Linked DNA regions of Oryctolagus cuniculus. The protein of the gene in region 2 binds, or shares a complex with, the protein of the main gene of each other region. Links are inferred from orthologs where the notes say so. Each region holds a gene or a part of one and is shown on either strand. Other genes may lie near its edges. The genes, in order: FETUB and MEP1A.

The links.
Region 1: the proteins of MEP1A (region 2) and FETUB are in contact, whole or in part, in a cryo-EM structure (PDB 7UAI), measured with the Homo sapiens proteins. The link is inferred for Oryctolagus cuniculus from reciprocal best matches to the Homo sapiens genes MEP1A and FETUB. Residues at the interface, in NP_005579.2 of Homo sapiens: Asp126, Gly127, Cys128, Trp129, Ser130, Glu131, Val132, Gln145, Gly146, Cys147, Tyr149, Ile152, His155, Glu156, His159, Tyr164, His165, Gln167, Ser168, Leu184, Gly186, Tyr187, His189, Asn190, Asp192, Tyr194, Tyr214, Gln215, Phe217, Ser218; in NP_001362516.1 of Homo sapiens: Phe109, Phe110, Lys144, Lys145, Tyr148, Met149, Thr150, Cys151, Pro152, Asp153, Cys154, Pro155, Ser156, Ser157, Ile158, Ser196, Ser197, Gln198, Trp199, Val200, Val201, Gly202, Tyr205, Phe206, Thr242, His245, Trp246, Phe249, Val250, Ser251.

What each region holds. Positions count from the first base shown.
Region 1 is NC_091435.1:96,348,370-96,352,607, reverse strand, and holds the start of FETUB (fetuin-B), read right to left. Parts: upstream 3,004-4,238; 5' UTR 3,003-3,003; coding exon 2,679-3,002; intron 2,344-2,678; coding exon 2,233-2,343; intron 452-2,232; coding exon 364-451; intron 1-363. UniProt on the Homo sapiens protein: Protease inhibitor required for egg fertilization.
Region 2 is NC_091436.1:123,327,346-123,331,943, forward strand, and holds the start of MEP1A (meprin A subunit alpha), read right to left. Parts: upstream 2,865-4,598; coding exon 2,796-2,864; intron 2,711-2,795; coding exon 2,686-2,710; intron 2,594-2,685; coding exon 2,543-2,593; intron 1-2,542.

The DNA.
Region 1 (4,238 bases), on a different chromosome or scaffold from region 2:
ATGTGTTCAGAGAACTGGCATCCAGTTGAATGGAGTATAGAGGTGATGATGCCAAGGCAGTAACGGCAGAGACAGTAGGAAGCGAGCCAAGGGATCAGTCGTACAGGTCTGGCCACTTATGGAAGACTGAACACTTAGGATTTAATGCAGGACACAATGGAGAGCTATTGGAGATGATTTAGGAAGATTAACTGAAAGATGAGAGGTGTATGTTGACATTTAGTGGGAAGGCAAGTCCTAGAAAGATTAAGCAACTGGTATTGGAATGAAGATGAAATAAACATGGTAGAAACCCTAGCCACGCTTGACAAAACTCTGGTTAAATGCTCTTTTCCCTCTTTTATTAAAATTAACATTTCTTACCTGGGCGAAGAGTACAGTTATAAGCAATTGAATAGAGGATTCTTCTTGGCTTATTAATGTAAAACAGTGCTTTGCACTGTCCATAAACCTGTAACCAAGAAATACATTATGTGACACTATAGAATGAACTACTCCTGCAATGAAACTTGTATACTTTTAAGTAATGAGAAACTTAAGATGACGTTAAGGGATTTGGAGTGGGAGGAGCTGCAGTGGATCACCACCCAGCTGTTTGACCTCTTCTTGGGCACACACATTTCCAAGCCTCCCCCATGATTAAGTGTGAGTATAAAAAGGAACATCAAAAAAGTTTGTGAAGAAACAGAACTAACAATTAAGTTTATTTTGGTGCAAAAATTTTTGAAATCTATGCATTCAAGGGGTCTTCAAAATGTTTATGGAAAACATATATTATGAAAATACTGTGCATGGATTTAAAAATTCTCTTTCCATAATGATGCAGAGCACTGTGGAAGCCATGAGTTACAGGTGGCAGTGTCTTGGACATGAACTTCTCATGAGTGGGAAGCAAACTTCTACCACGTGATGTGAGTGCATCCCTGTCCATGCGCGTGCTCCAGCAGTTAGCGTCATCTTAACAAAATCCACAGCAGGGAAATCGACTATTTGCTTTTCAAAATCAGTCCATGCAGTTTAACAAATTTGGTTACATGATTTGAAAAGTTTTCTTTCAAAGACGTCATTATCAGGTACTCAGGTTACACAGTTCATGTCAATTAATGTTAATCCCAGGATAATCGAGAATCAAACAAAACTATTCTTTTTCTATTCATCTTTAAAAGGATCAATTCTGAGGCCATTGAGATTCTATGATTGAGGAAATCCTTCCAAGGTACCCCTAAGGGCTCCTACACTGTAAGCCATCCCTTTCTCTAGCCACAGCCCTTGCATTAGCATTCATTAAGACAAAACAAAGCAAATATAAAAGAAGTATAAAAAGCCCTCCTTCCATAATTTCTGCACTCCTTAACTCCACATCCAGAATCTTTGCCTCTGGTTTTTTGCTTCCAATGTAAACAAATGGCTGAGAGCTACAGGAGGATCTTGAGGTAGAAAGCAATTCTGGGAAAAGAATGAAATCCTATGCAGACCCTGAGGGCCAGTGGCGAGGACTCAAGCGACTGGGTTCCTGCCAGTAGTGGGAGACCTCGTGGGAGACCTGGATTGAGTTCCTGGCTCCCAGACCTGGCATCCAGCCTGGGGCCACTGGGAGCATTTGGGGAATAAATTACTAGATGACAGCTCTGTCTCTTTGCTCTAAAATTAAATTAAATTAAATTAAACCCTGACATAGCAAAATGGATAGAATTGGAGGGGGTTATGTTAAGTGAAAGAAGTTAGACACAGAAAGACAAATTATTGCATTTCTCTCCCATACGTGGGAGTTTAAAAAGTTACTCTGACCTTAGAATGGTGATTACTACAGGCTGGAAAGGGTGAGAGGAGGGGATAACTGCCCGATCTGCTCTATTTACACTACCTGCATGTGTGGAAATAGTGTACCATACCCTGTAACAGTGCACGGTATTGCATGCTAATGAATAACAAAACTAGTATATAAAAAGAAAAATTAAAACAAAACCAATTTGGGGACACCTTTTCAATTCTGGGCAGCATGACCCTAGTGGAACTTTCTAGAAACCCCTCTGATGGGTTAGACTTGATTCTGTCTCCAGCATGAAAATAAGCATGTGGGCACCCTCTCTTCAGGCTACAAAGAGGGCCAGTTAAAGCATGCAGACAGCAAGCCACCTGCACTTGGAGAAAGAGGGCAGACAGCAAACCACCTGCACCTGGAGAAAGAGGGCACCTAGTCTCTTTCCTGGAGCCCCGAGAATGAGTACTTACTGAGGTGTGCAAGGTCCTCACCGCACAGTCTTGCCACGCCTTCTTGCTGAGCACATGACAACCAGTCTGCAACACGTCCAACACGAGATAGAACACAGACCCTAGGTGATCCTGTGGGAAGGGGTAGAGAAACACATCACATCCCACAGGGAGCTGGAACTCAAAGACTGGACAAGTCTCTGCTTTTTGAGACAGCCAAAGGATATGGTGTTTGTGGCGACACCTTGAAAGTTATGGCCCCTAGACAAATGTCAGAGTAGGATCTCTGCACTGGCTCTTGATCACAAGAGAATAGTAGCATGCCTGGTGGAGAATAGAATGTTGTCAGGTTCTCGGCCAAGTTCCCAATCTTGAAAGTACCTGCCAACCTGTCTGAGGGTTCCCAGCCACCGGCCAGCCTCTGCAGCTGTCCAAATGACTGCCTGAGTGCGGACAGCATCACTTGCCTGTGTGTGCTCCCAGACGCGGCTCACTCGGTTGAGGCTCAGCACGTAGCCGTCCTTTTGGTCTCTGTTGATGTCCTGCAGGGCGAAGCCTGAGACCGACAGCACATCTGAGTCATTGCAGTTCCGGGAGAGCAGAGGTGTGTCCTTGAGGAACGGCTGGGGTACAGACACAACCCCGCAGCATGCGGCCAGGGCGCAGAGCCCCAGGATTCGGAGCAGACCCATTCCTAGGGGGAAACAAGGGTGTGGAGCTGCAGAGATGGACTGGCTTGTGGAGCGCCTCAAGGTCAGGCTTGAGTGGTTCTGGCTGCCAGGTTGTCCCATTTTATTACCTTGAATTCTAAACAAGGATCTCCTGGAGTCAGTACTTTGGATGGGATCTGTCGATATGTGTAACCATCAACCCCTGAGTAATCTCATATTCGGGTGGACATGTAAACAAAATAAAGTTTCCCAACAGTTTTCAGTAAATCCTAACAAATATTTAGTCAAGGCCCTTAGGAGATCATGATGGATTCTGACTTGTGTCCAGTGTACACCAGGAACAAAATGGTGGTGGTGGGAATAATCACCTTCTCCCCAAGTGCCTCTGACTGCTCTCCTTGGCCACACTGCTGAACTTAGGCAGGAGCACGGGGCCAAGGCTTACAGCAGTGCTCGGTGAACTCACACCTCCCCTAGATCAGGAAGGAGGCTGAACCCCTCAGTCACCTCCCAGAAGCACCAGTGGGCTTCCCAATACATCTCGGGCATGTGGCCGAGAGAGTGTCCCATTCAGCCTCACTTCATTCTTTTGAAGCAAGGATTTCATGGAATGGAAAAGCAGTTAATGGGACATCAAGAGTTCTCACATCATACTCCAAGTCTATTCTCCCTTCTACGGAGCTGTAGGGAAGCAAAGTCATGAAGAGACTGACACCTCTTCAGACAAGAGGAAGATACTAAGGCTAGTGCCATGGGAAAGTCACCACCTACAACACCAACATCCCATCTAGGTGCTGGTTCATGTCCTGGCTGCTCCACTTCCAATCCAGCTCGCTACTAATGTACTTGGGCCCCTGTACCCATGTGGGAGACCTGAATGAAGCTCCTGGCTCCTGGCTGCTAGCTTTGGCCTGGCCCAGCTCTGGCTGTTGTGGCCATTTGGAGAGTGACCCAGCAGAAGGAAGACCTCTCTCTCCATATTTTCCTCTCTCTCTCTGTGTGTGTGTAACTCTCTCTCTCTTTCTCTCTAACTCTGCTTTTCAAATAAATACAAAATAAATGTTTTTTAATAAAGGAAGACAATGATGGGCAGGTGCATGCCAGAGACACATTGGTTGGGACTCTGGTTTTCCTTTTTCCTCTTCTGTTTGGGGTTCAGGAAATTTCTACCATTGGGACTGTATGAAAGAAATGGCCTTTTAAAAGCTTTCTATTTAAAAACACACACCGTCGTTTATCAGGAGAGAAGAGGCTGGGTGTGAAGACAGCACCGAAACAGGCTTGTCAGCGAAGGCGTTCCACGGAACCCTGGACCTGGAGTGAGAGCAGCTCCAGCCCGCCCACCCTCATCTCCCA
Region 2 (4,598 bases):
TCTGTTCACTACCCAAGTTTTTCATGGAGCACGTGCTAATTAAGTACATAATGTTTTTTGGGCATTTTTTTTGTCTTGACGCTGGGAATATAGCGGTGAATAAAACAAAGCTCTTAGGCATTGCCATGCTTGATTTGGGGAATGGGGAGATATGTAAAAACACAAATAAATATAGAGTATGGCAGATGGTGAAATGTGCAGTAGAAAAAGGAACATAAGACACAACTGTTTGGCCTAGATGCTAAGACTCTGAATGAGAGTGCATGAATTCAATACCTGGCTCTGGTTCCTGACTCCAGTTTCCTGCTAATGCAGACCCATCATAGAAGGGGGAATAAAGAAGACTGTTGGAGAGAGGTGACAGTAGATAGAAAGGTCTGGAGGCAGCACAGCCCTGATGCCTTAAAGCAGTGGTCCTCAAACTTCAGCACCAGAATCCTGGAGAGCTTATCAAACACTACTGAGCCCCAGCCCTAGGATTTTGGATTCAGTTTGTCTAGGGCAGGGCCTAAGAATGCTCATTTCTAACAAGTTTCCTGGGATGCTCATGCTGCTGGTTGGTGGCCCACATACTGAAAACCACATGTTCACAGGAGAACAGCTATGCAGTCAGGGTAGCTGGGGAGCTCAAGTAAGAAAGGGGGAGAGTAGAAATAAATGAGGTGAAAAAGGCAGCCAGGGTCTGATGTCCTCATAGAATAACGTCCACAGGAATCACCTGGGATCTGTCAAAGTGGAGCTGCTGATCCTGTAAGTCTGGAGTGGGACCCCAAAGCCCGCATTTCCAGCAAAGCTCATTAGTGAAGCAGGCAACGTTGGCCTACGGACCACATTTTGGAAATCAAGGCTCTTAGGCCTACAGATGGTTTTGGAGGAGGAGTTGTTAGAAGGTTGGGTGAGAAAAGTGATGGTATCTGCATGCTTGCCTAAGGAGAGCTCTGTCCACGCTGGGTAGAACAGTCTGTCGGGGATGGAGGTGAAAGGAAAGAGAAGTTATGAGGCCACAGATGAGCCCATGAGGTGGCTTGCATTAGCAATGAAAGTGCTGAAAATTTCAACTGTGATGTAGTTGGAAGATAGATCTAGTAGCATTAGCTAGCAGCTTGTGTGTGAGATGTAAGGAAAGGCTAAGAGTCAGGGGCAGCTCTGGGGTCTGAGCCTAGAATCTAGAGGAAGGGAGTTGCATTTACTGAAAGGAAAAAGAGGAGAGGATCAGGTCTTGAGACAGAGATAAGAAAGGTTAGATCAGCCTGTGAGGCATGGAGAGGAAGGAGCAAAAGGCGACAGCTTTCTTTTTGTGATTTTTCCCGGCCAATTTTCCCAGATCTTAGAACTGGCTACCATTGCCCCAATCAGTCCTGGTGGCTTGGCTGAAATGGTTTCATATGTAGGAAATATTTGTCTTCACTGAGGTCCAAGTTCAGAGGTTGGGGGGCAAAGCCTAAGAAATGACTCAGAGTTAAATGAACGAATGTTTACTAGATAACTGAGGATGAGGTTAGGAAAACTCCAATTCCAGTCATGTTTTATAATGGGACAGTTCCTCTGAACTGTGTGTACCTTGACTGACTCTAAAGAGAGCTCTTTGAGTGGATGACTCTGAAGTCTTGGGACCCATTCACCCATACACCCATTTACCTTACCAAATCTCTTTTGCTCTTCCCAAGTTGACATTCTCAAGCTATTTCCATTAAATATAAACTAGCTGCCTTCTCTGTAAATGACTCAAGACCAGAAGCATTTAACCCTTAGGTAAGGATTTCCTAGTTTTAGTCTTCAAGTAACACTGGGTTGTTGAAGTGTGAGTCAGGAGACTCACTGCTGCCTGATCTCAGCGAGTCACCCTCGCCACAGGAGCCTGCTGTCCCCTCCTGCAAAAATGAAACCAGTGCCCACCCCACTACAAGGCTGGGCAAATAAATGAGCTGGATAGGAAAAGCTTTTGCAAGTAGTAAGGTGTTCATGATCCTGAGTATTTCAGCTTGCACCTACCCTAACAATGGCACCTGATATGCGGAGGCTTCTCTCTCCTCTCAGTAATGGATGAGAGCATTGGATTTCCTCAAGAAATAGATTTGTGAGAAAGATATTTAAATGAAACACCCTTACACTCTTTTTAAGTCCCAACAAACAGCTGGCAGTGAACATGATGGCCCAGTGGAGACAATGGGTTTTTTTATTTTACCCCATTAAGAATAACCATGGGTTTACTCCCTATATTTTCTGGAGCAAGCAGAATTCTCATACAGTTTTCTGTCTTTTTAAAACAGAAACTGGAAAAATGAAATTGTTATGAACAGAAAACACAGTATGTATCTCTAGGTTCAATTGAAGACTCACAATTTCTCTTATAAAATGTGGCCTAAACTTCTTTTTCTTTCCATAGTATTAATATGTTTTTAGGGAACTGTAAATCTTAATGAGGCACCAATAAATATTTCTCCCCCAAAGTAACACAACATAGTATTATGAAGGTTTTAATAATTCTACCACTGAGCTTTAAATTTTTTCCATACATTAATAATGTAAAAATTGAACTCACCTACATTGATTTCTGGAATATCCTTCTGTTCACCTAAATCTCCATCTTTTACTGTTAAAAGAGGCAAAATAATTGTTACTAGTCTTGCTGGGATAAAAGAGAGAAAATTCAGTAACACTATGCATTTGCAAATTTATTCTTACCATTTCTTTTAGAAAGATGCTTAATCTGAAAGGAAATAAATACATTGAAAATGGATAACACACACTAGAATTAAATTTTTAAATATCCAGAAAAGTGGAACTCTACTTACCGATACAGCTGCTGTGTGGGCAAAAAACAAGGTAAAAGAGAGAATGCAAGCAGTTCTAGTACAAACCATTGTTGCAAGTGAACTGATCTTAGCAAAGACACCTCATCATAAAACCCTTTTGGACTTTGCCTTGACTGTCATATTAGTAACTTTGACCCTTCCCTATGGACTGCAGTGTTGTGTAGTCACAGAGGATGGCATTAATGCATCTGAGGACAGATCCCAAGTCTACCCTAAAAGCTCAAGCTTGAGAGACTGGGAAAATTGAAAAATTAACACTGAAAGGAGCACATGAGAACCAGTAACATTCCTGTATAGCAGTAACTGTTCCTATAATAGGTAAAACATCCCCTACACAATGGAAATAATCAATAAAATGATGATAAAGTATTTAGCAAAATAAAAATGAATTAGAATTTTAGGGAAATGTTATAAAATTATTGAAGGACACCAAAAAGACTCTCTCTCTCTCTCTCTCTCTCTCTCTCTCCTTCTCTCTCTCTCCCCGCATATGAAGTATTTGTGGATAACTCTGGTATTAGTCTATAAATTCAATGTCATCCTTTTGTAAAAATACTTACAGGATTTTCAGCGGATTTGGGCAAACTGACAAACTGTTTCTGACATTGACATGGAAGAATAAACTTACAAGAACAGGTAAGAATTCTGAAAAGGATGAATAAAAAGAAATCCCTTATCAAGAATTTTTATAAATTCATGGAAATTAGAGTGTGATGTTGCCAAAAGGAATGTTCAATGAGCCTACAAAAAGGAATGGAGAGTATCAAAACAGATGCGTGCGTAAGTGTGACTTTTTATATGAGAGGAAACAAAAAAAGTCAATAGGGACATTTTGGTTTCTTCAATAATAATGTTGGAAAACTAGCATTTCCATATGAGAATAATGTAAATTCTAACCCTGTACTATTCACACACACACAGAGAGAGAGAGAGAGAGAGAGAGAGAGAGAGAACTCTAGGTAGCTGAGTGGAAATGGTAAGTATAAAAATTTAAACTTTGAAAAGAAAACAAAAAGCTTTGAGGTCTGGAAAGATTGCTTTAATGAGAAAAAGAAATGCATAGGAATCATAAAGAAAAATAATAATAAATTTGCCTATATAAAAATTTATATTCCTTTATGACAAAACACAACAGTATTAAAAGAAAAGATGAGGAAATATATTTATATTGTATATAGTTACATAAGTATCCAAGATAGATAAGGAATTTCTATAAATTAGCAAGAAAAATAGGAATTATATAAAAGAGGGAAAAAATATGAATGAAAAATTCAAAAAAAGAAAACCCAAATGTCCAATAAACATGTAGGAAAATTTCAGTCTTACAAGTAATCAGAAAAATGCAAATTCAAACAACAATGAAATGACACTTCAAGTTCAGATTGGCATAAGTGAAGAAAGCCAATGTGACAGGTGTAAATAAGAATGTAAGGAAATAGCAAAGCTCCGACATTGAAATGTGGTAGTTTATAGGCTAGAGACTCCACCTCTGGTTACATGCACTAAAGAAAATCACACATGTGCACACATTATCACATAATATATTAATTTCAGTTCTTTTTTGTAAGAGCAGGAAACTTTCAAAAATAAATTATGGGGGCCGGCGCCGTGGCTCACTTGGTTAATCCTCCACCTGCGGCGCTGGCTTCCCATATGGGTGCCGGTTCTAGTCCCTGTTGCTCCTCTTCCAGTCCAGCTCTCTGCTGTGGCCTGGGAGGGCAGTAGAGGATGGCCTGAGTGCTTGGACCCCAGCACCCACATGGGAGACCAGGAGGAAGCACC